Callithrix jacchus: one gene and its partners. The protein of the gene in region 2 binds, or shares a complex with, the protein of the main gene of each other region. Links are inferred from orthologs where the notes say so. Each region holds a gene or a part of one and is shown on either strand. Other genes may lie near its edges.

Region 1 (7,366 bases), on a different chromosome or scaffold from region 2:
ATATCATTATATGATGAATAAAAGAAGGCAAGCACTGTTGAAATGCCTCTTGATATCTTCTTACAAAAAAGATCCAGTTTAATTCTCAAGGGTTCTAATGGTTTAAATTACTGTGTACTAAATAAAATATCAATTTTACCACACTTTTCATGTCCCTATACATCAATAACTGACAGAGTATTTAAGTTTTGACAAAAATAGTTATAGGTCATGGAAGAAGTATAATTTTTCTTGTTGATTGCAGAGTTTCTGCTTGCATAGTCACGTTTCCAGTCCTGCACCACCATGCAAAGGAAGGCTACCTGTAATGCTAACTCACTCTCAACCTCTACTCTCTTGAGGAATGACAAAGGTTCTAGAATGGCTACTCCATCTTTGGCAGGGACCATGTCAGTCATATTCACCATTGTACTCTAGCACCTAGGACAGTGTCTACCTAGATTAGGAAGTTAATAATAGCTGCTGAATGAATGAGTGAAAAGGAGACTCCTTCCTGTTTCCTTTAAGTGGGAGACAGGAAGGAGTACTTGATCATTAATGAAAAAGCAAGATAGGCAATGGAAACTAATCAAAATGAAAACAGCAGAAATAATACATGGCTGGAGGTTACCAAGAGAGCTCAATTCCACCAATCCCGCATACATCCACTACCAAAGTGAATTCTGCCTATGGTAGTGAATGATGCCACAAATGGCACAGAATTTTGGTCCGGACTTTAGAGTAGAAAATGCAGATTAACACAGAGAATGAAAAAGTAACCCCAAACAAAAACCCCAAAACCCAGTGCTCTGAAATTAATGTGTTACAGAAAATTGAGATGCAGTGATATAGACAATTTCGCGGAAGGAAGCGGGTTAATTTGAAGTCAGATGGTACAGTAAGTTACTTTGGATATTTGATTATCTCTTTCTGCAATATAGGATTTAAGCCATTCCATTATTTTGTGTAGCAACAAATATTGGATAAAGACAGATTGTTCTTCTGTGGATTTCCTATGTATAGACTTCGAAATTAAAAAGTGAGATGCATAGGCCGGGGTGTAGGTGGAATAAATAAAAAGTTCATAATTTAATGATATTCAGATGGTTATGAATAAAAATTCAGTGGAGGCCGGGCACGGTCGCTCACACCTGTAATCCCAGCACTTTGGGAGGCCGAGGCAGGCGGATTACGAGGTCAGGAGATCAAGACCAGCCTAGCCAAGATGGCGAAACCCTGTCTGGGCTAAAAATACAAAATTAGCTGGGTGTGGTGGTGCACGCCTGTAGGCCCAGCTACTCAGGAGGCTGAGGCAGGAGAATCGCTAGAACCCGGGAGGTGGAGGTTGTAGTGAGCCGAGTTTATGCCACTGCACTCCAGCCCGGGAGAGTGAGAGTCAGTCTCAAAACCAAATAAAGCAAAACAAAAAATTCAGTTCAAAAGGTGAGACTGTTAGTCTTTGATCTGTCAAAGCTGAGAAGCTATTCCTGCAATCTGACTTTAAAAGAAGATTTGGGATGTTTCATACAAATTTGTTTTTCACAGTTTTTGCATTGGTAGAGGGGGAGTTAATACTGAAATCTATAAAGCCAAACTGATAGCTAGTATCACATACCCACAGGCGTGTGTGCGCGTGTGCATGCACCCCCCTACCCCACTGCGCTGTCTATACAAATCAAAATTGACCACTGTCAAAGCAAAGACAAAATCGGGTTAGAGACAATGTAATATTCATGGATTTTTTTTCCCTTCTATTTTTTGTCTTTTTTTTTTTTTTTTTACTTTTTGTTTTTGGTTTGGTTTTGTTTGAAACGAGGTCTGTGTCGCCCAGGCTGGTCTCAAACTCCCAGACTAAAGCAATCCCTCTGCCTCAACCTCCCAAGTACCTGGGATTACAGGCACACACCACTGTACCCTGAAATATTAATGTACTTTGATCCCCAGGAAGGTTTCTAAATGTTTGGAAGAGATAAGGAATAATTTGAACATAGGTGATTTGTTTTCAATTTCAAATCCCACACAATTTTGAGGGGTGATAACCAGTAAAAAGGGAAAAACAGCCCCGCCTCCACTGCCAAATCAAGGATAATTCAGGCAGGATAAATTAGAGCTCTGTCCTGAGTCACTCGGAAGTAACATTCAGATAGTTTAATGACAGGCATTTAGAAATATATAAAAGCAGAACACAAACAGATGAAGATTGTCTTTCCTAAGATAAATCATAATGAAAGATAAATTTTATAGCCAAAGGAATTGAGCCATTGTAGTGTTGCTATAGCTAGTGATTTCAGGCTTTCTTTTCTGGAAAGTAATTTGTGATTAGACTCATTTCTGCTGACCTTAAGGTCAGTGGGATCTGTGTTAATATCTGAGCAGTTACATTCGTTTTTGGATTTTTTTTCTCAAAGCTAATGCTATGTGGTTGTTGATCTGAGCACTGTCTTCCCACATCAATCATATCCCTTCTGAGCAATCCACTTACGTGAAATATGCTGGCACTGACACTCAGGTACAAGGGCAACTGTGGTCAGAACAACTCCCTGAGCCAAAAGCAAAGCTCATAAACAAATAAAATACTAATAACTGTATAATACAGTGAAAGATGAAACAAAGAAACAAAGTATTGTGGACAATGGCTTCTTTGGAGGTTGGGTTTATAGGCGAGTTTCACTTTCTCCATCATTTATTTCTGTAATGTTTATTTTATAATACTGAGGAACTCCCAAGTTTTAAAATGCCAAAACGTCATTGTGGTTATGTTTAAAAATTCCCGCAGGATATTCTTACTGAAATATTCATGGGCTAAGCACTATGATGCCTGGGACTTGCTTCTAAATTATACAGTGTGAGAGGAGGTGATACAGAAAAGAAGACTAGACATGAATCGGTACCTGATGTTTGAAAGATTTCTGAGAGAAGAGTAACAAAAATGGTAGGAGATCAACTTGGAAAAGTAGACTGGGGACTAAATGTAAAGAACCGTGAGTGTAAGGAAGGTTTATTCTCTAGTTCAGTGCCCTCCAGACTTCAGTGAATGCAACCCTGCCTGCAATATTGTTGCATGCATGCACCAGGCATATGCTTATTCATTCATTCATTTATTTATTTATTTAAAATTATGTACATGTACCATTGTACTATTATGCCATTATAAAACATACACAAACATAAAAAAGCTAGATAAAAATAAGCACAGATATTGTTCTAATATGTTCTTCCTACACTCTATGGACCTGGACCCCAGTTGGGAGCCCCATGCTTAGTGAATGTGGGGGCCCCTTGAGGTTTTCTGAATAGCAAAGTTTATTTATAAGAAACAGAAACTTACTGGCGCAGTAATGGGAGGTTGATTAGAAAGACCCAGAGCTACTTCCCTGAGGCTTCTCAAAGAACTCGTAATGGACTGGGAAGTTGTTCTAACTAGATATGTGACTTGAACAAGGATGGTCATTTCCTTGTACACTTCTTTTACATATATGCAATCCACATAATGTGTTCTGCACACAGTCAGGATACAATATGCATACAAAACAAACATACCCCCACATATTTTGGGCAATATATTTAACACAACGATTATGATGATAATAGCTAACATTAGTTGAATACTTACTCTCTGCCAGGTATTGTGATAAGAACTTTACATACACATTTTTACTCAAAACCCATGAAAACCCTATGGAAATCGATCTTATAACTGATTTTCATTTTATTATGAGGAAATTGAGATTTAGAAAAAGTAGCTTTCCCAACATGAAAGGGCTAGAAAATGGCAGAGTCAAAATTTAAATCAAGATGTTTCTGACCCCAAACTCCATATCCATAGCAATGCAACCATATTGCCTCCAGAGAGAATAAAGGATAGTGTCCAAACCAGCAGACTGTTGTGACGATTAAATGAGATAATATAGTTAATATGCTTAGCACACTGTCTGACATAGGGCACACATCCTATTAATAGGTTAGGATTTTAGTACACAGAATGATATTTACTAAGATTTTCCACAGTAAACACCACTAATATCTCTCAATATCAAAACACCAATATTTATAATTGTAATGAAATAATGTTTTATTATTTAGTTAAACATTATTTATAATAACACACCCTAAACTCCTTTCCTTCGCTGCCATCCATAACCACGTGTGGGTTTGTTGTTGTCTCTGTGGAATGGCTGACTAGAGAGAGATTGCAATTGTGGACTGTGTTAGGCCTCCTCCTCAGTAGGCTATAAAAGCAAAAATATTTGCATCTGGTGTACTCCCGTCATCATCTTAAGGAGCCACCTATCTATGTAAGAGTGCATGTAACTTGAGCACTGAATGACCCAGGAAATTCGTATATACATGTCGATTTTATTTTATGACTGCAGGGTACTTTTAGAGACATGACAGACCTGGAAAATTCTTTGCATTCCATTGGTTTCATTTGAACTGGTCAAATATACCACTTTCATTTCTTTTTTCCAGATTTCATATTTTTATCAGCCAATCCAGATTCAGTATTTAATATTTACTATTTATTTACTCATGGCTCCCATGATTACAGTAGCCATCTCTCCCTGATTTTCTGGAACATACAATATTTGAGATTTTGTCCCAGTACCAGGATATAATTCCAAATTTGATTGGCAGCCTTAGCCTCTGTACAGGTGGTGATGCATGAAGCCCTATGCTGAGAGCTGTGATCTGAGATGAGACTCATAGGTGCTCGTTTATGGTATGGTCTCGTCTACACTGCTGAATCTGTACTTAATTTTGATGATCATTAAATGTTCCTTTTTGTAAGTTTGCAGATACTTTACTCAATGTCCCACCACTCTAAAGGGAATTTTAAGTTCCATAGTTGAGTTGGGGTGAGGGGAAGATAGTATCTTTGGTTTGGAGATTTTAGTCATTTAGTCAAAGCAGATCTCTCCATCAAATAATTAATTTTGGTATTATTCCATACGTTTTATGTAATGAGATATTGTATAACTCTAGGTGTTACCTAGGAAACTGCCCATCATTCCCTCTGTTCTTCTCCCTGGGAAGTTTTTTAAATGCTGGAAACACTGTGAAGAGCATTTGTGCTGACACAGTAGAATACGCCCCACCCATTTGTAGCCCAGATAGCAAAAACTCAAATTAAATATGTGGGATTTTTGGAAGAAAGCATCCAGTAACCAAATACTATGAGCAAAAAATTAATTTATTACAGATATATTCTCTAGTAATTAATAGCTTCTTGAATTTTAAATCTTTTTGCTATTTCCAATGCTTAAAAATCATAATTTTAAAACATAAGTACTGTTTTATATACATTGTGATTTCTTTTATTTTTTTGTGTGTTTTACTTGTAAATATGAATGATATGGTCTCCAAATATTTACTTGGAAAGAAAGGGGATAGGATTCATTGTTTCGCTCTAACATGGTAGAATTTAAAATTTCACGTCATGTATGTGGGGTTTTAACTATATGAAAAATAGCCAAATGTCATCACTTTCTTGGATATTTCTTTTACGTGTATATATATGTATAATATAAACAGAATACATCTGATTAGTACATTTCAACATTTCATCAATGTGACTTTTATCTCCTATTTTATATAAAATAACAAATATACAGAGAGAAGAAAGGAGACATCTGTTCATCATACACACAAAGTAAATAAAAGTTCATGTATGGCTTTGCAAAGGTAGATTATGATGTGACTTCCATATTTATTTGTTTAAAAGCCTCTTGAGAGAACGTGTCAGTGTGCTTACGAGAGCGGCCATGGTGGTTGAATGTCGCGCCGAGAGTCCAACATTAGGGTCCCCAGGGTTCTTTCCAGTGGCTGCTTCAGCAGCTTTCAGGAGACAAATGTAATTTATGACCACTTCATCGATCTTCCCTACAATTTCCTGCCGCTGTGTTTCTGAGTTCACGACTTTAACTAATCGCATGCAAGCTTCCGTTAGGCAACAGAGCACTTGAAAGCTGGAAGTCATAGCTAGGAGCATCTCCTCCGGGCTTTTCTCGGCCATCGCCATTTTCCTACAGGCACTTCCCAACTGTCTGGACTCGATGGATAACAGTTGCTTGTACTGAGAAAGTGTAAGGTCGTACGCTTCAGGGCGTGACTCCTCTCTCTTCTCCTTGGTTGCCCTGACGAGACAGAGCAGCTCATTGGCATCATTTTGGGCTGCAAGGAACCCATCAGGCATTGCATATGTGCTCTCCTTTAGGGCATTTATTCTTGCAATCCGGGCATCAAAAGCCAGGTTGCTGAAGTCCAAGTCATCTGGGCCACTCAGGTCTTCTGCCCAGACCTTCAGCACTGACCCTCTGGATAGCTCCCCTCCTTGCTTCTGAATCCCTGCAGCCACTTGTGGGCTGCTTGTTTCTGGCATGGCTTGAGTCATCCGTGGTCTATAGAGGCAAGAGACCTGGACGGTGGCCTCTCCCCTCTCTTCCTCCTCCTCGCCATCTTCATCCTGCCCTCGGTTCAGGAAGCAATAGCTGAAGGGTCCCCGACATCTCCAATTGCTGCCCTCCAGCTTCCGCAAGGGTAATGTCCTATACAGCTTTGAGTCTTTAAGAGCCACCGGGGACCTTTTGTGAAACCTCCCCTCAGAGCTCAAGTGCATCGAGCTTTGGGAAAAACTTTTGGTGAGCTTCCTCCCCAGGGGGAGTTCTGCTCGCCTTTCAGAACTGGCCTCCTGTGCTTCTGTGATGCCTGGACACTTTAAGCTGACTGCACCCTTGGTTCTTTCTCGGAAGGTCTCCAAATCGACAGATCCGGAGAGGATACTGCTGCTATGTCTTAGAGCCTTCTGGCTGGGGGGTGTCCTGAGGCTCCCCCCTCTCAGATCCGGTGGCCGCCAGCTCACAGCCTCTCCGTATGCCTGATTTGCTTGGGAGAAATCATTAGGGTCTTGATTTGGAATTGGCACCTTGGATTCCGAGTGAATATTTGATGGTAGCAGGATGGGATCAGCTTCAGGATGTTGAGACCAAGCTGAAGGCATGCCTCCTCGTCTCTCCTTCCCAGGCTCTGTCAAAGCTACACTAGGGGTAGTAGAAAAACAGAGAGAATAATTAAGCATCTCCTGTGAGGCCATTTTTACTACATCTCTACATGATGTCTGTCATTCCCAAGGATGTAGTCTGGAAGGGCTGCCATATGCCAAGGTCACCCCGCTTTCCAAAGATTGCCTCTTGATACCTCCTAGCAAATTTCCATTTCAATGAATATCAAGAAAATACTGGAATCTGTTATTTCTGGACTGATGATTCATTTGGAATTGTCTAGAAGTTCCAAACATTTTCAAGGAGACAGTTATTTCATGAATTGCCTTGCTCCCAGTATCTACCTTTGAAAATTTAGACACAGAAAACACAGATCCTATGTATAGATT
Region 2 (7,063 bases):
ATGTGTTCACACTGTTTGGGGAATATGCCCCCATGGTGAGATCTGTCTTTTGATCTGTGATCTGATTCTGAAAAGTAGTGAATCCCCAGGTGATGGACTGTAACTGTGAGTGGAATTAATGCTGCTTGCAGTTACTGCCTTTTAATCCAAAAACAAAAATTTTTTAAAAATGTGAAGTAAAATTTTACCTTTGTATTCTTTCGTTACAGATATCCATCTGGGGACGAAACCTACTTTGACACCTAGCAAGGCACCATGCAGCTGCTATTGAATGAAGACAGCAATTCAGGAAAGACTTAAATATGAAAGCAAACTGAACACATAAGGCCAGTTTATTACCAGAAAAGACGTAAGGCTTGTCTATTGACTAGGCAATATGTCATTAAAATTAAGGTTTAGAGTGTGAAGCTTTTTTAAAATTTTATTTTTTTCTGAGAGTTTTGTTCTGTCGCCCAGGCTAGAGTGCAGCAGCGCAACCTTGGCTCACTGCAACCTCCATTTCCTGGGTTCAAGCGGTTTTCCTGCCTCAGCCTCCCAAGTAGCTGGGATTTCAGATGTGCGCCACCATGTCTGGCTAATTTTTGTATTTTTAGTAGAGATGGGATTTTGCCATGTTGGCCAGGCTGGTCTTGAACTCCTGACCTCAAGTGATCCACCCTCATCAGCCTCCCAAAGTGTTGCGATTACAGGCATGGGCCACCGTGCCCAGCCTATATAGTGGGAAGCTTTAGGAAAATCAAAACAAGGTAGACAGCTGTTAAAATCAATGTTTAAATGGAATGATGTTGAATATTTACAGGCTGTAAGAACTATATTGTATACATAAAATAAACTTATTTTTACATTGGGGTTTGGTATACTGTGTTACTGAATTTTCTTATAAGAAAAGCCCCATGAAACTTACCTGAGTTTTTAAAATGCTATCCAGGACATCATACCCTAAGAGTATACATGAAACATAATGTGATCCATGTTTCAACTCAGCCCTTAATGTAATTCCAGATTTTGACTTTTTTTTTTTTTTTAAAAAAAAACATTGGCCATTTAGATAAGTAGTTCTGTTTGCCCATCAAAATCACCCGAGTGACTCTGAACAGGGGTCCACATCCCCAGATCCCATCCCAGCTGTGCAAGCAGAGTGGGACAAACTGCCAGCTTGTTCCAGGGGTGGGCTTCTGCAGTCTGATTCAGTATCACTCCAGGCCCTGCTCTGTCCCATTCTCGTCTTTTGCTACAGTTACTCTGTTATCCTCCCCTTCTGAACTGCCTTAAGTATCTGGGATAAGGAAGACAAGGCTTAATGACCACTAAAGTTCTAGCTGACATCTTTCATACTGAATTTCTGTGAGTTGTCATCTGTTTTCTGTTATGTGTTCTAGGTTCTTGATCTAACCATTTTTTTTTTTAAACATGATAACTTAACAAAAGTTTGTTTTATAGCAGTATTATGGAACAGAAGAGACCATTTTAAATGATACATATGTATATATTTTTTAACATATAGCCAAAACATACAAAAGATATGTTTTCTAGAGACAGGGTCTTGCTCTGTCACCAGGCTGGAGTGCACCCTCTACCACCTGGGCGCAAGTGATCTTCCTGCCTCAGCCTCTTAAGTAGTTGGGACTACAGGTGTGTGCTACCATGCCTGATATATATATATATATATATATATATATAATTTTTTTTTTTTTTTTAAAGCGAGAGAGAGTCTAGCTTTCACCCAGGCTGGAGTGCAGTGGCTTGGTCTTGGCTTACTGCAACCTTTGCCTCCCAAGGGTTCAAGCGATTCTCTTGCCTCATCCTCCCAAGTAGCTGGAACTACAGGCGCGTGCCACCAAGCCCTGCTAATTTTTGTATTTTTAATAGATACGGGATTTCACCATGTTGGCCAGGCTGGTCTCAAACTCCTGGCCTCAACTGATTTGCCCATCTCAACCTCCCAAAGTTTTGGGATTATAGGCCTGAGCCACTGCACCTGGCTGCTAATGTATTTTTCATAGAGATGGCAGTCTTACTATGTTGCCCAGGCTGGTCTTGAACTATCCACAAGTGATCCTCCTGCCTCAGCCTTCCAAAGTGCTGGGATTACAGGCATGAGCCACCATGCCTAGCCCAAGAAGTTTACTTAAGAGTTTCTTTATACTGGCTTTGGCCTAAAAAGTACTGAAAATAGATTTTCATGGAGAAAAAAACCTAGCTTTTTAATAAGACTTTTATATACTTTTTTACATTGGTCAAGTACATTATTTTTACTAAACAGCATTGTTTCCCACTACATCCATGGTTGTATATTAAAAAATGCCATTGTCAATTAAGATTTTAAAAACTTCTGTAAGAGGATTAAATTCTAATCTATGATTCATTTAACTTCCTACTTCACAAACACTAGGTAAAGTAATCTAACAAGCTGCCAAAGAACACATCCCAAGTAATAATCACAGATGATGAAGCACCTTACAGGACACCTCCACCTTGAAACACGTGAGTGTCCAGAGAAGTATTAAAGCCTTAATAATAGACTACTGAAGGTTAAATATTTACATTATTCTAAAAATATTGTAAGCTGTATTACAGAGCTATAAATTCTTCTTTTAAGGAAAGAAGTAATAGATTGTTTCCTTACCGTATTCTGAAAGGAAAAAAATATATCCATAGTAACTAGTGGCCTGCTGATTTTTTCCCTGAATTTTTAAACTCCACCAAAGCATTAGTTTGCAAAAAGTCCTTTAGCCCAAAGTCAGTGTCTCTGTTTTGATCTCTTTGTAAAAGAACTCTCTGTTCATCCATTCTTTTTGCCTGAGATCGTAAAATAAGGCTGAAAAAGTCTTCATCTGGTACTGTCGGACCCTTTGTGGTAGCAGGTGGCGGAGTACATCTTTGATCATCTAACCTGGATCCCTAAAAGTTTATGAGAAAGAAATTTAAAGACATACTGTGGGGAAAAAAAGCATGAAGCTATGTAATATCTCTGTCAGTCATAACAAGAAAATGCAGTTGTAAGCTATTTTTTTGGCTTCTCAGAAATTAATCTTTAGACCTCAAACTACATAAAATTCTTTTTAAAAAATGAATTAAGTATAGCTGCTTACATAAGAATAGCTGCTTCATGGGTTTAGTATGTGCATTATATTAAGTCATACTATTTTAATTATAATTGGTCACAAGGAATAATCTGAGACAAGGTCAACTGTATATAACAGTTTTAGGTTCTAAACTAACACGCATCAACAGGGCAACACCAAGTCTTTAGAAATATGTACAAAATCCATGAGGAACCACATTAAAAAAATCACATCTTAGGCTAGGAGACAGCAAATGCCTGCTTCTGTAAATGAGGTGTCATTTTCATTTTCCCATCAATACATTTGTTTATATATTGTCTATATGGCTGCTTTCCTACTAAATGGCAGTTGGGCAGTTGCAAAAGAGACCATATGGCCTGCAAAGCGTAAAATACTTTCTATCTGGCCCTTTACAGAAAAAGTTTGCCTGCCTCTGTCTTAGGCAGTTAAATCTGTTAAGAAATAGCCCAGACTGAATTTTTTTTTTTTTTTAGACGAAGTCTTGCTCTGTCACCAGGCTGGAGTACAGTGGTGCAATCTCGGCTCACTGCAACCTCTGCCTCCTGGGTTCCAGCGATTCTCCTGCCTCAGCCTCCCGAATAGCTGGGACTACAGGTGCCTGCCACCACACCGAGCTAATTTTTTGTATTTTTAGTAGAGACCAGATTTCACTATGTTGGCCAGGATGGTCTTGATCTCCTGACCTGTGACCCATCTGCCTCAGCCTCCCAATGTGTTGGGATTATAGGTGTCAGCCACCATGCCTGGACTGTGATTCTTACATTAGACACGCTACTCATCAAATAAAATGTACAAGCACTAACAAGTATACACCATAGATGCTGGCATTGTAGCTCAAGGATAAGAATAAAAATGTGATAGCTGATATTTGAGTAACCAATACATTGTCGGGGACAGTGACAAGCACATAAATCCCTCAACATTTACTCCCACAACCCTTAGAGGGTACAGTTAACTGCCCTAAGTCAGTGCCGCCTCCACACATACCTGGTTCACTCATTTCTCCTGTCCTAAGTTGATAATTTCAGTGTCCTCCAATTAACCCAACACTTGAACACTTCAGTTCCTAGACTTCTGATTTAGTGTTCTCCTTCACTTCAGCCTTAACCATCTGGCTCTCATGGTTATAGTCTAACCTCTTGTTATCTTCATAGAAATGCCTTTTCCAGTTCTTTGCCCATTCTTTTCTTTGCCCATTTTTGAATCAAGTTGTTTTCTGTTGAGTTTTAGGAGTTCTCTATATATTCTGGATATTAATCCCTTATTGGATATGTGATTTCCAAATATTTTATCTTGGTTGCCTTTTTTGTTTTTTTTTGAGACAGAGTCTTGTTCTGTTGCCAGGTTGGAGTGCAGTGGCACAATCTCAGCTCACTGCCTCAGCCTCCTGAGTAGCTGGGATTACAGGCACATGCCACTACGCCCAGCTATTTTTAGTAGAGATGGGGTTTCACCATGTTGGCCAGGATGGTCTCAAACTCCTGACCTTGTGATCCGCCTGCCTTGGCAGAAGCTGACAGAACTCCTTTCCGTTTTTGGATGGAACAGTTTGAGAAGGCATGGTGTTAGTTCTTTAAATGTTTGATAGAATGCACCAGTAAAGCTATCGGGTCCAGGGCTTTTATCAGGTTTTCTGTTACTGATGTAACCTCCTTCTTATGGTGTATTTTCTGTTTCTTCATCATTTCTTCTTGGTAAGTTTGTATTTCTAGTAATTTGAATCTTCTTTTAAAATTAGTCTGTCTAGCCAAAAGTTTGTCAATTTTGTTAATCTACTTTCAAAAAGTCTTGGCTTCATTGATTTTTTCTATTTTTTTCTGTTCTGCATTTTATTTATCTCTGCTATAATCTTTATTTTTCTTTCCTTCTGCTAGTTTAGGGTTTTGTTCTTTTTTCAGTTCTTTATGTTGTAAAGTTAGATTGTTGACTCAAGATCTTTTGTTACTGTAAACATTTACAGCTATGAATTTTCCCCTTGGCACTGCCTTTGCTGTGTCCCATACGTTTTAGTATATTTTTTTATTTGTCTCTATTTTACAATTTCCATTGTGATGTCTTTCATGGATTAGTCGTTTTAGAGTCTGTTTAATTTCCACAAATTTGTGTTTTCCCCGTTTTCCTTTTGTTACTGCTTATTTTATCCCATGGGGTCAGAGAAGGTACTTTTTATGTTTTAAATCTATTGAGAATTTATGGCCTAACGTGGACTGACCTGAAAATGTTCCATGTGCACTTAAAACGACTGTGCATGCTGCTGTTGTTGGTGGAGTGTGCCATATACACGTGTTAGACCTAGTTGGCATACTCTGTTTTTCAGATCCTCCATTTCCTTATCTTCCGTCTAGTTGTCCTATCCATTAATGAGCACAGGATATTGAATTCCTCAACTGTTTTTGTAGAACTCTCCATTTCTCCCTTCAATTCTGTTAATTTTTGCTTCAGATATCTTGATGATTTGTTATATATCTTTAGTATTCCTTGAATCTACTGAGACCACTGCTACTTTTTACTTCACACCTTTCATTTCTTTATTTTCCTTCTTACAGCCTGGATTCTAAAGTCCATTATTAAAATCACTTCTTGGCACATGTCTTCAACTACCAGTCTCTCCCCTATATCCAGTTCTCCTGGCAAAATATCAGTCTTGGTTTATCTCTCTGCCTCAAGCAGCTGGTTATGACTGGATAAAATACACAGCTTCACTCACCAGTTTTGCTTCCAGTGACTGAGCTTCAGGTGGGGTTTTAAAAAATTTTTTGAGACCGAGTTTCACTCTTGTTGCCCAGGCTGGAGTACAATGGTGCAATCTCAGCTCACCACAGCCTTTGCCTCTCAGGTTCAAGTGGTTCTCCTGCCTCAGCCTCCCGAGTAGCTGGGATTACAGGGGTGCGCCACCATGCCCGGATAATTTTTTTTTTTTTTTTTTTTTTGAGAAGGAGTCTCACTCTGTCACCTGGGCTGGAGAGCAGTGGTGTGATCTCAGCTCACTGCAACCTCCACCTCCCGGGTTTAAGCAATTTTCCTGCCTCAGCCTCCCGAGTAGCTGGGATTACAGGCATGTGCCACCATGCCCGGATATTTTTTTTTCTTTTTTTTTGAGAAGGAGTCTCACTTTGTCACCTGGGCTGGAGAGCAGTGGTATGATCTTGGCTCACTGCAACCTCTGTCTCCCAGGTTCAAGCAATTTTCCTGCCTCAGCCTCCCCAGAAGCTGGGATTACAGGTGCCCACCACTATGCTCAGCTAATTTTTTGTATTTTTAGTAGAGATAGGGTTTCACCATGTTGGCCAGGCTAGTCTTGAAACCTTGGCCTCCCAAAGTGTTGGGATTACAGGCATAAGCCACCACGCCCAGCCTAATTTTGTATTTTTAGAAGAAACAGGTTATCCGTCTGCCTCTGCCTCCCAAAGTGCTGGATTACAGGCGTGAGCCACTGCACTGGGCCTCAGGTGGGTTCTTAGTACAGCACAGTATTCTTAAAACTTTTCCACTAGTTTCAGTTTCTCTAAGTCAACTATTTCTCACTTCCTTTCTCTTCAAATTTATAGTGCTCCCCAACCCCAATCTTAATGAATGACTCTACACTTCTTTGGTGAGAAAATAAAAGCAGCCAGAGAGAATTCCTACTTGCTCCCATCTCCAAATCTGTACTCTGCTTTCTCTGTCACCTACATAAAAACTGTTCTTCAATTATCCCAGACTTACGTACATCACCGGCTCCCTTCTCTACTTGACTATTTCTGTCTGTAAACTCTATTATCACCCAAAATAAGAAAAAAATTTTTTGCCTTATACTTCTTTTCTAGCTAATAGTCCACTGAACTCATTAAAGTTTTCTATATTTACTATATCCTCTTTCACACTTCCTATTTTCTCACCCCACTCAATCCTTTGTCCCCACCATGCCACTGAAACAGTATCTTTCAAAATTATTAATAAACTCCATGTTACCAAATCTAGTAGGTTCAGTTATCATC
Region 3 (6,532 bases), on a different chromosome or scaffold from region 2:
TTTCTGAGAACACTCACTTTTAAGGTATTCTGTTTAAAAAGTGAAAGTGAAATAGAGGATGGGGGCAGTACTTTCCCAGAAGGATTGCTCGGGATCCTGCCCTTCCCAGAAGCAGCTTTGTTGCTGGAGAGGGTGACTGGGTGAGTCCCTGTTCTCTCTTTGGGTCTCAGTTTTGCCCTCCCTAATGAAGGGGTAAGATTGGACTAGGTAAGCATCTTACCATTTTTGGTCATGAGAGCTGGGGTTGGGGGGGATTGTCACTGAAAGAGCCCCAGGCTATGCTACGGGAGGAAAAGCCAGCTACTGAGAAAACGTGGCAGTGGTTTACGATTCTCCTCCCCCACCTTTCACCAGAGAAGAGGACGTTGTCACAGATAGAGAGCCAAGCTTACCAGCATCATGACCATGCGACAGAAGTGGATACCAGGTAGGCCTTGGGGCTGCCCATGGGCAGGCAGGGTAGGGTGAGGTCTATGAACAGAATGGAGCGGTAGGCTAACCCGGAGCCTTCACCCCAAGGCAGATGCTGTGGCTCTGGCTCCATTCCAAAGCTTCTCTGTACTCAATAAAGGGGTGGGTGCTGAGAGGCCCCTCTTTTGCTCTGATTCCCTGGCTAGAGCCCAGACATCTTTGGGCTGAAGGTACATCCTTACCTGGGCAGCCCACTCTGTCTCCAGATAGAAGCCATGATGCTGAGCGTTCCCAGGCAGCCCAGCCACTGACTTGTGACTGTCCTTTCCTCAGTCCCCAGTCCTTTGTGGGTCCTGCTCCTGTGTGCCCACATCATCACTCTCCTGGACAGAGCCACACCTGTCTCACAGAACACCACAGCTGCCACTGCCTCAGCTAGAAGCACAAAGGACCCCTGCTCCTCCCAGCCCCCAGTGTTCCCAGCAGCAAAGCAGTGTCCAGCATTGGAGGTGACCTGGCCAGAGGTGGAACTGCCACTGAGTAAGGAGCACAGTGGTTGGGGGTAGGCTGTGGGCACAGAGGTTCCCAGGGTTGGGTTGACTCCTGAGCACTAGCCCTCTTCTGCCATGCACCACCAACTGGGCCAGCTGGGCTGAACCCCCACATTCTCCCTCCATAACCCAGGGTCATGGGTACGGGCTTGGTGCAGCTCCCAAGATGCTCCCTATCAAATAGGACAGAGAACTCAGACGTAAGTAATGGTCACAGGACCTCTCAGAGCCTTGATTGCAGTGGACTCCAAGGCCAGCCCCTTCACCCAGAGCCCACTGGCCTCTAGCCATCTCATAGGAGCAGTAGCCACCCAGCACTGCCTCGGTCACCTGGGCTCCAGAGTCACAGAGACTGGGTACTAGAAAAGGTCATCCCGAGGAGACAGACTCAGAAGAGGAGTCATCACATGAACCAAGGACCCTTCCCCATATTCCCTATTTAGGGCTAGGGCCTCTTGGAGACAACTGCACTTCCCCTTTAACACACCTTCCCACCTAGGGGGAGCTGGCAGGGAGGGCACAGCAGAGCAGGCCAGGGAAAGGGCTTGCTCTTCAGGAGGGCTAACTGCTGCTTGTGTCCCTAGATGGAACGCTGACCTTGTCCTGTACTGCCTGCAGCCACTTCCCCCACTTCAGCATCCTCTACTGGCTGGGCAATGGTTCCTTCATTGAGCACCTTCCAGGCCTGTGGGAGGGCAGCACCAGGTGAGGGTTGCAGCAGCCAGATGGGTGGGAAGGAGGCCTCCTTCTGTGGTCCTCATGACATTTCTTTCCTTTTTGCTCCAGGTGGGAGCGTCGGAGCACAGGTACACAGCTGAGCAGGACCTTGGTGCTGGAGCAGCTGACCCCTGCCCTGCACAGCACCAACTTCTCCTGTGTACTCGTGGACCCCGAACAGGTTGTCCAGCGTTACGTCGTTCTGGCCCAGCTCTGGGTGAGGAGCTTAAGGAGAGGCCTCCAGGAAGAGGAGGAGCTCTGTTTCCATATGTGGGGAGGAAAGAGTGGGCTCTGCCAGAGCAGCCTCTAAACTAATGTCCAGAATTCCTCAAGGACAGCCTGAGGAGACAAAAAGGAACTTAAAACAGGGGAGGTGTAGCCTGGGGCAAAGTGATGAGATGTGTCCCTCCTTTCCTTGGCCTGATCCTCATCTGCCTTCATTTCCTTAGGCTGGCCTGAGGACAACCTTGCCCCCTACCCAAGAAGCCCTGCCCTCCAGCCACAGCCCAGGGCCAGCAGCAGCACAACCTTGACCGGAGCCTGGGTCCTATCTACCTACCTGGAGTGAACAGTCCTTGACTGCCTGCAGGCTGTATGGGCAAGCAGCACACCCCCTTCTCCTCTGCTTTGGTTTCTTTCTCTCACCAAATTCAAACTCCATTCCCGTCTACTTAGGAAATCACAGCCTCCCTATAATGCTCCTCCTCCTGCCATTCTCTCCACCCTTCCTAATGTCCTGCTCCTCACACTGCTCTGCTGCTCAGAAACCACTGAAACCGACTGTTGATGCCTTAGCCTTGCACTCCAGGGCCCTGCCTACATTTCCCATGTGACTTTCCGGAGGCCTCCAACTATTGCTTTTCCCAGACAGCTCCCACTCCCATGCCTCTGCTCATTTGGTCCCGCCTTCCTCACCACCCCAACAGGGGAACTTTCAAGCCTGGTTGAAACACTGCCTCTTCAGTGAAGTCACCCGCTTTCAGCTCTGGCTATTCTGCAGACTTCAGTCTTCATGCTGTATTCCCCCCACTTTACTCTAATGGACTGTTCCAGGGAAGGGATGGGGGCAGCAGCTGCTTCAGATCCACACTGTATCTCTGTTATCCCCACGTGGGTCCTCATAAAGGATTATTCAATGGAGGTATCCTGACATCTGTTCATTTAGGCTTCAGTTTCACTCCCAGGAACTTTGCCTGTCCCAGGAGGGAGTATGGGAAGAGAGGGACTGCCACACAGAAGCGAAAGACAAAACTAGCTTCAGGGGAACACAGGCCCTTGAAAAAGAAGAGAGAGAACAGCCCATGTTCCCCAGGAGCAGAGGCCAGTAATGGAGAGTGGGAATCCTGGAAAGAAAGATGTGGTCCCAGGAAAAGGGATGAGAGGAAGGAGGTGGTCTGGAAGACTCAGCAGGGACAAGGTAGGCTCCAAAGAACCCAGGTTTCCCCCCTACCCTTTCCCACTTAGATCAAGGCAACTCAGTAATCAAGGGAGAAAAATAGACTTTATTTACAAGTAATAACATTTAGAAAAGATCCATCCCTGGCCCTTAAAAACCTTCCCATCACTCCAAATCCCACCCCAGTGCAAGTCTGGGGAAGGCAGGGTGTGAGCTGCCACTGAAGGCTATCCCTCCACCCCACACCTGAGCCACAGGGCCCATCCGTGCTGGAAAAGGGCATCCTCAGGCAGGTGTTCCCACCATATCCAGTCCTGGACATCAAGACTGAGGGCCCCTGCTAGGCCCAGCCACCGGGAGAGCAGGAACCAGGGCCTACTCCTCCTCTGGTCCCTTCTAGATCCAGAGGCTGAGAGGAAGACTGGCTAGGCCCAAGGACCCAGCCATCAGCCTCAAATCTGGTCGTGATGGAGAAGTGACTTTGCTCTAAGAAAAAAGGAGGCAAGGTAGGGAGAGCACCCACACTGTCCATGCTCCAGGCTTCCTGGTCCAGCTCTGAGAAGGCGTCCAGGGACCAGGCCAGGGTGCAGGCAGACATTACTGTCTCTAGGGTTTTGGCTACTGTTGGCCTGGGAGCTGAGAGAAGGCACTGAGAGGGACAGTAGAAGGAAGACCAGGTGAGGTCAGCATCGGGGACACAGGTGGGGCCACTCTCTGGTACTAGCCGTTTAGTGCTTTGCCTGAAAGAGACACAGACACATGGCCAGATGAGAACTTGGGATGCCAGCCTGCAGCCACTGGCCTGGAAGACCTCTTCCTGCTCCCATCCTTTGTGAGCCCCCGGATTATCAGTTGTTGGCTATGCCTGAGCAGCTCTGGGTGCTCTCCATGCGAATGGGGCCATTTGTCTTCTCTCCTTGATAACGAGTAGCTACTAGGACAGGGACACCTTTTACCCCACCACCCTCCAGCAGCCTAGAGTAGCCCTGTCTTGGATGCTGCTCCTTGGGGCGGTCTGGGGGGTGTCTATGCTCTCATTGGGCTTCCCTCCCCAGTGCCTTTACCTTGCCCTTGGCTCGAGGGGTGGCAGCAATGGCAGCAGCAGTGGCAGCACTAGCTGTGGTGGTAGCAATGCGCGGAGAGCGGCGGGTTCCACTGCGAGTGTTGGGGGAAGCTTTGGACAGGGCCTTCTTTGAGGTTCCCCGCCGCAGAAGGCTGTTCCCTAGCTTCTTGGGCGTGTTGAGGATGCTGAAGGCCATTGACTGGCGCCGGTCAGCCTGCAAGGAAAGGCTGTCAGACTGGCCTTCCCAGGCCAGCCCGCTGTGCGATGCTCTGCCGGCAAGGTCCCACCAGGCCATCGCTTCATTCCCCCCCGCCCCAGCCTCACCTGTTTAGTAGAAGCTGGAGCCACTTTCTTCTGGGCCTCAGTAGTGCTCTGTTTGCGCCCTTCATGTCTGTCCCGGGGAGTCATGGGGCGTGGAAAACAGCTGGTGGCCTTCTTAGACTATGGGGAAGAGGACAGTTAGGCAGACAGTAGCAAGAGTCACATCTGAAGCCAGGCATCTTGTTCTCACAGAGCTGAGTGGACCTTTTAAGTCAACTTGTGCAACCTGCTGCCCAATTCTGAGCCAGAGGGCTTCCCTTCCCAGCAGTTCCCATCCATGCACTAGGCCCTTGGAGAGAGGGGGAGATAGGAAAGGCTCCCTTTAGTCCTTGGTGAGCTGGACCTGACCTGGGCACAGTGCTGGAGCAACACCCAGGAGCTACTGTGCCTACCTCAGGAGTGCCAGGGCCCTGGTGGGGCTCTAGGGAGACCCGTTTGCGCTGCTGTCGGGTGGTGATGCCAGTGCTCTCTGCTATCTGGATTGGCTGCATGCTGGCTCGGCGCAGGGTCTCCTGGGGGTCGCCAGTTTTCATCTCCTCATCTGAGATGGTGGCCAGGCTCAGGGAAGGCTGCATTAGTTGAAGAGGTGGTCAGTGGACTGTAGCTGTTTGGATATGGAGCAGGACCTGGGGGTGTCCCAGGACTCTGCACTCACCTGGCACTTAGGGTAGGTGGACCCTTCCTACCTCACGAGGCCTCCCTTGTTCCACTTTAAACCTACGCCCTGGGTGAATGGCTACAAGCGGTGCAGTCCTAATCAGATTCCTCTCCGAGCTCTTGCCCACCCCCAGGGACTTCACTCCTGAATGCCCTCCCTGCTGGCTGTTCTGCCTGGAAGCATGAGGTCACCCTCCCCCTCCTCAGCCAGTCAGGGATCCAGGGCCTTAGTGCTCAGGCTAGATCAGCAGGTGAGATTTCAAGGGAGGGCAGGGATCGGAGGCCCTGCACAGTGACCCCAGGGCTCACCCTGGCCTCCAGGGGATAGGAGGTCTTCAAGTGTGGTGGGCACACTCGGTTGCGCTGCTGCAGCTCTGCAATCCGGTTCCAGTCGTCCAGCTGCTCAGGCTCATCCTGGCAAGTGCCCATGTAGAAGCTGTTTCTTCCTGTGGAGGGCAGGGAAGTTGGCAGGTCACCTGCTCACCCTGGCATCTTGCCAGCCTTTGCTGTCACCTATCCCGTAAATTTTAAGCCAGTCTGATTCAGTGCTGCAGGTGCAGGAGTAAGGCACACAGACTATTTCTATCCTAGGGGTTTGTTCACCACCTTCTCCCTGGAGAGGGCAGAAGAGGCCACACACAGAGGCTGCTACTACATCTTACCCACTAAGGCTTAGTGCCCAACACCCAGAGGAACAAAATAAGGAATTGATTCCCAAGGGCTCCCTGGTACCCAAAGGGCAAGAGCCTCCAGGAAGAGTCTGGCCAGCCTGACCTTTCTAGCAGCCCATCACCACCTGAGAAGGGTACAGAGGACTCCCCAAGATTGTGCTGGGACTCCCAGGCCCTTAGTGAGCATCCCTGGTTCACTCTGGCTAAGAGTGCCCAAAACAGCCAGCCCTGAAATGGACAGGTAAGGAAGGCCCTTGGGGCTGCAGGAAGGAGGGGGCTACTGGGCAGTAGCGAGGAGGCTAGCCTTGGATTTTTTAAAAATTTGCCTCTTTTCCCTGTGCCACGATCCACCTTCCAGTCTAATTTTTGGGTATAGTAAGTCCCTGTAGTCCCCTCACCTGGAGGGGCCCCACTGGATACCCCAGCTTGGGATCGACGAGCAGAACTGCGAGTGGTGGGGCGGTAGCCAGGCAGGCTAAGCAGGGCTGAGTTGCCATAATCGGGAGAACCCAAGCGGGCTAGAGACTGAGTAGAGGAGGTGGCTCGCAGGCCGGCCTGGGATGCAGGACCAGACCGCGTGCTATAGAAGGATGAGTTAGCGCTGTCTGGCTCTTCCACATCTAGCTTCTGGAAAAGAGAATGAATCTGTTGCAGTGGGGTGGACTCTGGCACTGTAAAGAAGCTTCCTGTTCCCTCCCAAAGCACCCAGACTCCATGGCACATCCTCCCAACTGCTTTGCAAAGG
Region 4 (7,528 bases), on a different chromosome or scaffold from region 2:
AACCTTGCCTTAAGGAAGAGACTAAAGGTAAAACAGAGAGATTATACCCCTCCAGCTGCCATCAACAGAGCCTTGGTGCTTCCTTTTGGTCCCGGGATAAGAGGCATCTGGCAGCAAGAAAGTCCTATACCAAGCTCCTGAATGTCAGGCTCTTAATCTCTAATCCTAGTGGTCCTAGCTCAGCACTAACCAAACTCCCCCACTTACCATCTGTAATTGTACTAAGGACCTTTAAGGAGCAGAGTGACCTCATCCTTCCACCACCCGACACATCCCTCATGGGCTCCACAGAACCTGGAATGCACGCCCATCTCAGGAGGAGGAATAGATTGATTCTATCCATGGTGCTTCTCCCATTTCAGTAGACCTGATGTCTAGCCCTCAGCTCCAACCTGACCATCAATCCAGGTACTTCTGTGGTCCAGACCCTCTCCTACTGATAACATCTCCACAAAACCACAAAAGGCAAGACATACTTCAGAAAAAGAGCTTCAGGAGAGAAAAAAAGTTCAAGAGACAAAATTGAGTTATGTTTTATCCTGGTCCCTAGTTGCCTCCAGACAAACCTATACCTCCAGGTTCTGATGCAAATGCGACCTCCTAGCATCTACCTGTGAATGCACCTTCTGATGCCTACATTTTAGTTTTAGTAATAAAACCCTTTTTCTACCAATAACATTAGTCAAACACCTGCAGTGGGCCTTACACTATGCCATTAAATTCTGAATACCCTCAAAGTAGAAAATGATTGTCCACATTTACAACTAGCTGAGTCTTAGAGAAGCTAGTAGTAGCAACAGCTACCATTTATTGTTTACTCACTGCTGTACATATTTTTACTTCTCCTTACAACAATCCCATTTTTATCACTGTTTTGTAAATGAAGAAATTGAAGATTCATATATTAAGTGACTTGCCCATGGTCTTATGGCCAATAAGTAACTGACTGAGGCTAGAATCAAATCCAGGTCTGCCTGACTCCAAAGTCCCCATTCTTTTATTCTCCAGGTTACTTCTGGTCTCTCAGCCTCTTTGGCTCATTCCCAGTGATGCTTCCAGAGATGTGGGTTTCAGTTCTATCAGGAGGGAAACACTTGCCTCTGGGCAATGTTGCTCCCCACAGCCCAGGTGTGACCATTAAACAACTCAAACTCTTGATCCAACCACCAGGACTGGGACAACAGATTAGCTGAAATATTAAGAACTCTGATTCCCTTTATCCAGTGATTGTCCCATCCTCTGATTTTGGGAAAATCACTGGAGTCTCCAGTCCCTTCCAGGTCACCTCCCTACATCCAAGGTTTTGGGTGAGTCTACAGAGCACGGTGGCCCACTTTCCTGTGAGATTCCTTCTAGGTCCAAACACTCCTCCTAATTCTCATTCAGTTGCTATTGCTGCTGACACAGCAATTATTAACACAACTACCTAAGTGCCTTTTAATTTTGCTGCACATTTATTTGAACTACAGTCTGAGTCACCTGGGATGTGTTAGGAAGATTAAATTGAGGATTCCAGTGACTCATTTATAAATGTTTCCAGGGAATGGCAAGAAGTTGGAGGGCTATTTCCCACCAAAGAGCAGAAGTATGGCTTCCTGCCCGGAATATATCTGCTGAATCTCAGAGTGAACTCTACAATGCATCTTCATCAGGATGAAATAATAGGAAGACTCCTTGGCTCCAGGGAGAAACCCAGCCTGGGAAGTAAAGCAAGAATGAATATATGACAATAGTGAAAGGTCACTTGGACTATATGTACTTTGTTTATTTGATAATGTTTATAAGTAGAGAAATTTTCTATAAAATTTACAAATTTTGTCTCATCTTTAAAAGTCTATGCCTTTCCCACATGGTAACAATCAACTGAAATTTACCAGTGACCATCCCTTTAGACACTGCATGAGTTTTTCAATCTGACACAGGTCTCAAACACCTTTATTCTTCCATGTGGTGCTCTTCAACACATTCATGTTTCTTACTGGGCTCTAGAGGATGTTGAATATGGGACTCTGGCATAAGTGAGTCCTAATGCTGTTGTGTAACCTTGAGAAAGTAACTTAACCTCTCTAGGCTTAGATTTCTTCACCTAGAGAGTATGCAAGGAACTATAGGGTCTCTTGAGCTCCCTCTAGCCAAGACTTTCAACAATGGGCTTCCATGTTTTCTCAATTTTGAATAAATGTGGACATTGGCAAATTGATTTCTCCCAGCCTGACCTGTGAGTGCTACTGCCCCCATGACTAGAATCAGCCATAAAGTCAACATAACTGATGTCTCCTCTGTGCAAAGTACTTGCAGATCTCCAAATTCTAGAGTTAGAAGGACCCTTGAGAGAAACAAGTTGCAATGTCTTGTTTATGTTAGGAAAATTGTGAAGTGGGTTTTACAGTGAGATATGGTAAGGAGTGAGTGGTGGGATCTCACACAGCACTGGCACAGACTTGCTGCCCAGAGCCACTTGAATGCATGAGTCAAAAGCTAGAGTCCAAACCCAGGGTTCTGACTCCTACCTAGCCCAGTGTTATGTTGCCCCTAAGTTCTTGCTATTTCAGATATTCCCAGCCCTGGTATGGTGACTCCAAGAGTTAATCTTACATTTCCTGATGAAATGAAATGAAATTTCAATAATATATAGATATAAAGAGAGTGACAGAGAAATAGAAACACACATCACCACCAGCACTTTTAAAAGAAAGAGGTGGTTCACAAAACAATTCCCTGGGGATTGTTATCCAGACCAGCCCTTTCAGTTTCTATAGCTTAGCAAAGGAAAGCTAAGAAAAGAGCATATTTTAAATACAGAGCTATGATTCTCCTGCTAGCAGTGCATATGTTTGAATAGGTGAACCTAGAAGAGTCAGCACTTTCACGGCCCCATGATGAGAGACCAATGGTGTGATTTTCAGGAAGCAGGTTGTGGTGAGCTAGTGCTCTCTGAGAAACCATTTGCCCCAGTCATTACTGTGATAGTCACTGGGTACAAGGATTGAGAATTTAGGAAAAATGCCTATCAGAGTCTCTTTATCCAAGTATCTGAACCTCAAAATTTGAGGCTCCATTCCTTTCTGGGGCTTGTCCTGGTCTCCCTTCTGAAATGCCAATTAATCCCAAACTGACAATAATTCAACTTGCTTCTCAGAGGGCTGCATGCATTTTAATAAGAAACTCTTGACAATAGAGGTCTTCAAAGCCTAATTCTGATCCCTTAATGGTGGGATTTCAGCAAATGTGATCATCTATACAGGAGATACCTGGGGTGCAACGAGTGGCAGATTGGAAGGCCTTCCTATCTATTCCTGAAGACAACTGTCCCAATGCCCTCTCTCCTAGTGGTCCCACTGCCCAGGGTGACTCACTGATGAGGGCTGTCACGATCTCCTCCATGCTCTCCAGGAAGCTACTGAGGTGCTGGGTGACAGGCAGGTGTGGGGAGGTGACCTGGGCCACCACAGCCGCAGCCTCAGCCCGTGTGGCCTCTGGGTGGCTGTCGTCGGTCAGGATGTTGGCCAAGCACAGAATGCCATCCACCTGCAGATGGAGAGAGGGAGCTTCCCTGTGAACCCTAGGAAGACACCACTGCCCATGACATTAATGAGACAGATTCAGGCCCCCTCCATGTAAGCCAGCTCTGCCTTCCCAGAACAGCCCAGGACTACATGTAGAGCCAGGGACAATCCAGTGACAAGGCCCTCAGAATGACTCAAATTCTGGCACCTGGAGGCCTCTTCTTTGATTCAAGCAGAGATCAGTAAACTTCCATGGGTCTTCTAAATAGCAGACATAAAGTCCTGTGTCCAGAGACAGGGCCCTGGTGATACCACAGCAAATTGCCACAGAAAGAACAGTCACTTAGAAATCTCACATCCCCAAGCTCCAATTTTAGACCCCTCTTCTTTGCTCTGTGACTTAGCCTCTCTGATATTCTATTTCCTCACCCTTCAACAGGGTATTGGGGGATTTAAGAGATAAAGCAGGCAATGCCTGATCCAGAAGAGATGCTCAAGAAATATTGGCTCCTTCCTCCCTTCCTCTGATTTAGCAACAGGATGAGCTCAGGGTTCTCTTCCCCATCTTGTCCTCCACCATCCATAGAAATGGGGCTGCTTCCTTGGGGGCCTTGCTTTCTGTGCCCAACCAGTGAGAAGCAAACCTGAAACTGATGGGACATGAATTCCAGATAAGAACATGTTTTCAAGCTCTGCCCGAGTCAGACCTGCTCTTGGCATGATAACAGCTGCTGCTGAGCACGTGCTTACAGTATGCCAGGTACTGCTCTATGTAGAGTGAACATGATGTTATACAATCTATTCCTTACAATAACCCTTTGAAGTCAGTATTATCTCAATTTTACAGACAAGAAAGCTGAGACACAGAAACTTTCATAGACTTGCCCCAGATCAAGAACTTTAAAAGTAGTTGGTTTGGCATTTGAACACAATGGTCTGGTGCCAAAGCCCAGGTTTTGAACAGAATATTATCCTGCCTACTAAGAAGTGGCACCTGAGCTCAGACTTCAGCCTCCATCAGGGTCAGTATACAAGACTTGTTAGAGAAAAAGAAGGCAGGAGCTTGTCACGGTTAGCTCCGCCGTGCTATTGCAGACCCTCAGATGCCCTAGACAACAGCCTGCCTGGGGACCCTGCTACCAAGCACCAAGTCCTTCTCAGGTCAGGAGTAGGAGGTAGGGGATGAGGCGGGGGAAGAACAGGAGAGGTGGGGGGAGGTGCAGCCCATGCTCATTCCCTACACCTGCCACAGACCCGAGGCTTCTGTCCCTACATCTTCCTGACACTTAGCTCCAGTGGGCTTCCAGAGGTCTGCGTTTCGTTTGACTAATTACCACCACTGAGTTCTGTGCCTCCCTTAAATGGCTCTTGGGAGCTGTAAGGTCCATTAGCTGTGAAAGCCTTTGGCAATCTCAGACTCAAAGGAGACAAATGTGGAAACAGGAGCCCAGGGAACTGTCCGCAATAAAACTCACCTGGATGTGCTTAATAAAAGGGAACAAACAGCAGCCAGGCAGTCCCTGGCAGAACTGGACTCATGCCAGGTGTTTAACTAACAGGCCCTCAGAGGGGGGCCTCATTTGGGCCTGCAAAAGGGAAGGGAAGCGGGGGCTAGAAGCAGGAAGCGGCCCTATTGCCAACATAAGAAACCTCTTGCCCCATCCGGCCTTCATCCCTTTCCTTCTTCTAGCACAGATAAAGCTGATTGCTAAGAAGCTATAGGGTTGTTAGTGGGGAAATGTCTCAATCAATCCCATCTCCTTAATCTCAACATGGTTGCAGATGCTATCCTAGTCCCCAGCTCAGACATGAATACCAGTCAGACCCAAACGAGTAACCTTCCCTAGTCCCCAACACATACTTGGAGATAGGCCAATCTAAACACACCAGAGAGACAAAGGAGTTGTTGGTCCCCAGGGCCTGCTGCCACCCAAGGCCTGGATACTAGGCCTGCTCCCTAGTCCAGCCTGCTGCTCTGAAATCCCATTGAATAAAACATTCCTGACATATACTGCATGCCAAGCCTTGTGCTGGAGCAAAGGTAAACCAGGGAACAGTGTTCCCTGCAGTGGGGGAAGATGACTCACATCTACAAATAACAAATGAGGATGCTCTACAGAGGGGCCTCCTGGAAGCTACTCTGACTTAATGCCCATGCTTCAGGTGGGAGAGGTGGCCCTCTTTGGGGCTCCCATGCCCAAGCACCTTTGCTATTGTTGTAGCATTTATCACACCAACAAGCCGTTTCTCCAAGTGAGGTCTGTGGACCAGCTGCATCAAATTCAGGGAGAGTTTCTTAAGAGCAAGTTAATGTACCCCACCCAGACCTAGTCTGCCAGAATTGCCAGGGACACCTGAGAATCTGCTTTTTAACGGCTCCACAGCTGACTTTTATGTGCCAGCAATTCGGAAAAGCACTACTATAGTATGATTCTCTGCTCCTTTGTCTGTCTGCTCTCTTGTTCTCCTGCCATCTCTGCAAGCCTGGGGACCACAGCTTGTTAACTCTTGGCTGCTTCAGGTCTGGTATGTAGTAGGCTTTCCGTAAGTAGAAAATAAATACAAGAAAGTAAAATTTGACCTAATACTTAAGGACACACTTCAGACAAGCAAAGCTAAAGGAATAGCACTGCAGATGGAGGAGCTATTGTGAGCAAAGGCAGTTATAGAAAAAGACAGCATTGGAGAAACAGCCAGCATGAGAACATAAATCAATTCTTGACCCCAGAAAAGTGACCCCATCCTGATGTAAACCCGATTCCTTCACTGTCCTTTGGTTTCCAGAGGATCTGTGGAGTTCTGTCTATACAATTGCCAATTTCCCATTGTCTTGCTTTCCTTGCAATTTGTTTTATATGCTTCAGATCTCTTTTGGTAACTTATTAATTATCCCTTCAAAAGAGATAGATAGATGATAGATAGATAGATAGATAGATAGATAGATAGATAGATAGATAGATAGACATAATGATTAAGATAATGAATAATGAATGATAGATAATGAATAAATTATAACAAATAATAAAATGAACGTCTGTATGTGTAGATGTATATGCCTAATATCCAGAAATTCTAAGAAATAAAATCAAGAAAGTCCCCTACACACCTTTCTTGATCTCATACCTCTGATTTCTCCTGTTGCATGGGCTGTTACTCTGAGTTTTATGCATATTATTCCCTTGTTTTCCTGAGAGGTTTATTGCACATATCCACTGTTAGTTTTACAAGATTTGTACTTGACATAAATGGTATCATGTTGAATACAGCAATTTACTTTTCTCTCCAGTCAGCATTTGTTTATGAACCTCTTCTCGTTGTTCCATGTGGCTATGATCCATTTATTTTCACTGTTGTATGGTATTTGATTGTATAAATCAATTTCAATTCATTTATGCATTCTCCCATCGATGGGTGTTTGAGTGGCTTCCCAGTTTTTGCTATAATGGACAGTGTTGCTATAAATGTTCTTCTAAATGCCTTCTAGTGAACATGTGCCAGTTTCTTCAGAGGTCCCAATATAGGAGTGGAATTCCTAGGGCCTAGTGTTTACACATCTTTAGCTTTATTGGTATTGCCAAATTGTTGTGCAACATGGTAGTAGTAATTCTTACTCCCACCAGCAATACATAATCACACTTAACACCAGATTCTTGCCAATATTTGATATCAGCAGATTTTTACATTTTTTGCCAATTTTATAGGTATAAAAATTTTATTTTAACCTGCATGTCTCCACTTAGTAATGAGGTTGAGAGACTTTTAATATCATTATTTTGTTTTGATTTGGTTTGTTTTGGCTTTTGTTTTTTGCAGGTTGGATCTTCTCTGCTATGAATTGTCTGTTTGTATGTTTTGCTCACTTTACTAGTAAAGCGTCTTTTCATAGGGACCAAATTTTCCTAGTGTCTGGTTCTGACGCTGCTGACCAGCCACCTGGTCTGCTGCCAGCAAGTTGATCTTCATATTCATTACCATCTCTCTTGCACAGCCCAGCTCACCACAGAAGGAGACTACTCAAGTGC

The links.
Region 1: the proteins of GPSM2 (region 2) and FRMPD4 are in contact, whole or in part, in a crystal structure (PDB 4WND), measured with the Homo sapiens proteins. The link is inferred for Callithrix jacchus from reciprocal best matches to the Homo sapiens genes GPSM2 and FRMPD4. Residues at the interface, in NP_001307967.1 of Homo sapiens: Leu25, Ala28, Leu29, Glu32, Asp57, Lys59, Thr60, Ser62, Ala63, Ile64, Ser66, Gln67, Asn70, Phe73, Tyr74, His85, Asp88, Ala92, Gly100, Lys103, Asn107, Asn110, Thr111, Lys113, His128, Arg143, Tyr146, Asn147, Asn150, His153; in NP_055543.2 of Homo sapiens: Gln988, Leu989, Leu990, His991, Ser992, His994, Met995, Glu996, Met997, Glu998, Pro999, Glu1000, Thr1001, Met1002, Glu1003, Thr1004, Lys1005, Ser1006, Val1007, Thr1008, Asp1009, Tyr1010, Phe1011, Ser1012.
Region 3: the proteins of GPSM2 (region 2) and NUMA1 are in contact, whole or in part, in a crystal structure (PDB 6HC2), measured with the Homo sapiens proteins. The link is inferred for Callithrix jacchus from reciprocal best matches to the Homo sapiens genes GPSM2 and NUMA1. Residues at the interface, in NP_001307967.1 of Homo sapiens: Ala28, Leu29, Glu32, Cys35, Lys36, Phe47, Lys59, Thr60, Ser62, Ala63, Ile64, Ser66, Gln67, Asn70, Ala71, Phe73, Asn110, Lys113, Tyr146, His153, Lys157, Pro164, Gln165, Arg203, Gly206, Asn207, Asn210, Tyr213, Leu214, Arg228; in NP_006176.2 of Homo sapiens: Ser1901, Phe1902, Tyr1903, Met1904, Gly1905, Thr1906, Cys1907, Gln1908, Asp1909, Glu1910, Pro1911, Glu1912, Leu1914, Asp1916, Trp1917, Asn1918, Arg1919, Ile1920, Ala1921, Leu1923.
Region 4: the proteins of GPSM2 (region 2) and INSC are in contact, whole or in part, in a crystal structure (PDB 3RO3), measured with the Mus musculus proteins. The link is inferred for Callithrix jacchus from reciprocal best matches to the Homo sapiens genes GPSM2 and INSC. Residues at the interface, in NP_083798.2 of Mus musculus: Asn210, Tyr213, Leu214, Phe218, Arg242, Ser246, Asn247, Asn250, Ile253, Phe254, Tyr265, Gln283, Tyr286, Ser287, Asn290, Thr291, Thr293, Leu294, Arg323, Trp326, Ser327, Asn330; in XP_006507722.1 of Mus musculus: Val72, Asp73, Ser74, Val75, Arg77, Trp78, Met79, Asp81, Leu82, Lys83, Leu84, Met85, Thr86, Glu87.

The regions. Positions count from the first base shown.
Region 1 is NC_133524.1:12,941,337-12,948,702, reverse strand, and holds the end of FRMPD4 (FERM and PDZ domain-containing protein 4), read right to left. Parts: intron 7,017-7,366; coding exon of another isoform or gene 7,012-7,016; coding exon 5,687-7,011; 3' UTR 3,062-5,686; downstream 1-3,061. UniProt on the Homo sapiens protein: Positive regulator of dendritic spine morphogenesis and density. Required for the maintenance of excitatory synaptic transmission. Binds phosphatidylinositol 4,5-bisphosphate.
Region 2 is NC_133508.1:146,805,493-146,812,555, reverse strand, and holds the end of GPSM2 (G-protein-signaling modulator 2), read right to left. Parts: exon of another isoform or gene 3,560-7,063; intron 2,902-3,559; coding exon 2,662-2,901; 3' UTR 2,178-2,661; downstream 1-2,177. UniProt on the Homo sapiens protein: Plays an important role in mitotic spindle pole organization via its interaction with NUMA1. Required for cortical dynein-dynactin complex recruitment during metaphase. Plays a role in metaphase spindle orientation.
Region 3 is NC_133511.1:68,941,188-68,947,719, reverse strand, and holds the end of NUMA1 (nuclear mitotic apparatus protein 1), read right to left. Parts: intron 6,415-6,532; coding exon 6,186-6,414; intron 5,563-6,185; coding exon 5,426-5,562; intron 5,029-5,425; coding exon 4,852-5,028; intron 4,580-4,851; coding exon 4,463-4,579; intron 4,353-4,462; coding exon 4,140-4,352; intron 3,816-4,139; coding exon 3,804-3,815; 3' UTR 3,162-3,803; downstream 1-3,161. Other genes in the region: IL18BP (interleukin-18-binding protein), read left to right, coding at 400-427, 745-951, 1,096-1,162, 1,581-1,667, 1,749-1,896, 2,129-2,212. UniProt on the Homo sapiens protein: Microtubule (MT)-binding protein that plays a role in the formation and maintenance of the spindle poles and the alignement and the segregation of chromosomes during mitotic cell division.
Region 4 is NC_133511.1:81,125,803-81,133,330, reverse strand, and holds part of INSC (protein inscuteable homolog), read right to left. Parts: intron 3,529-7,528; coding exon 3,357-3,528; intron 2,201-3,356; exon of another isoform or gene 1-2,200. UniProt on the Homo sapiens protein: May function as an adapter linking the Par3 complex to the GPSM1/GPSM2 complex. Involved in spindle orientation during mitosis. May regulate cell proliferation and differentiation in the developing nervous system.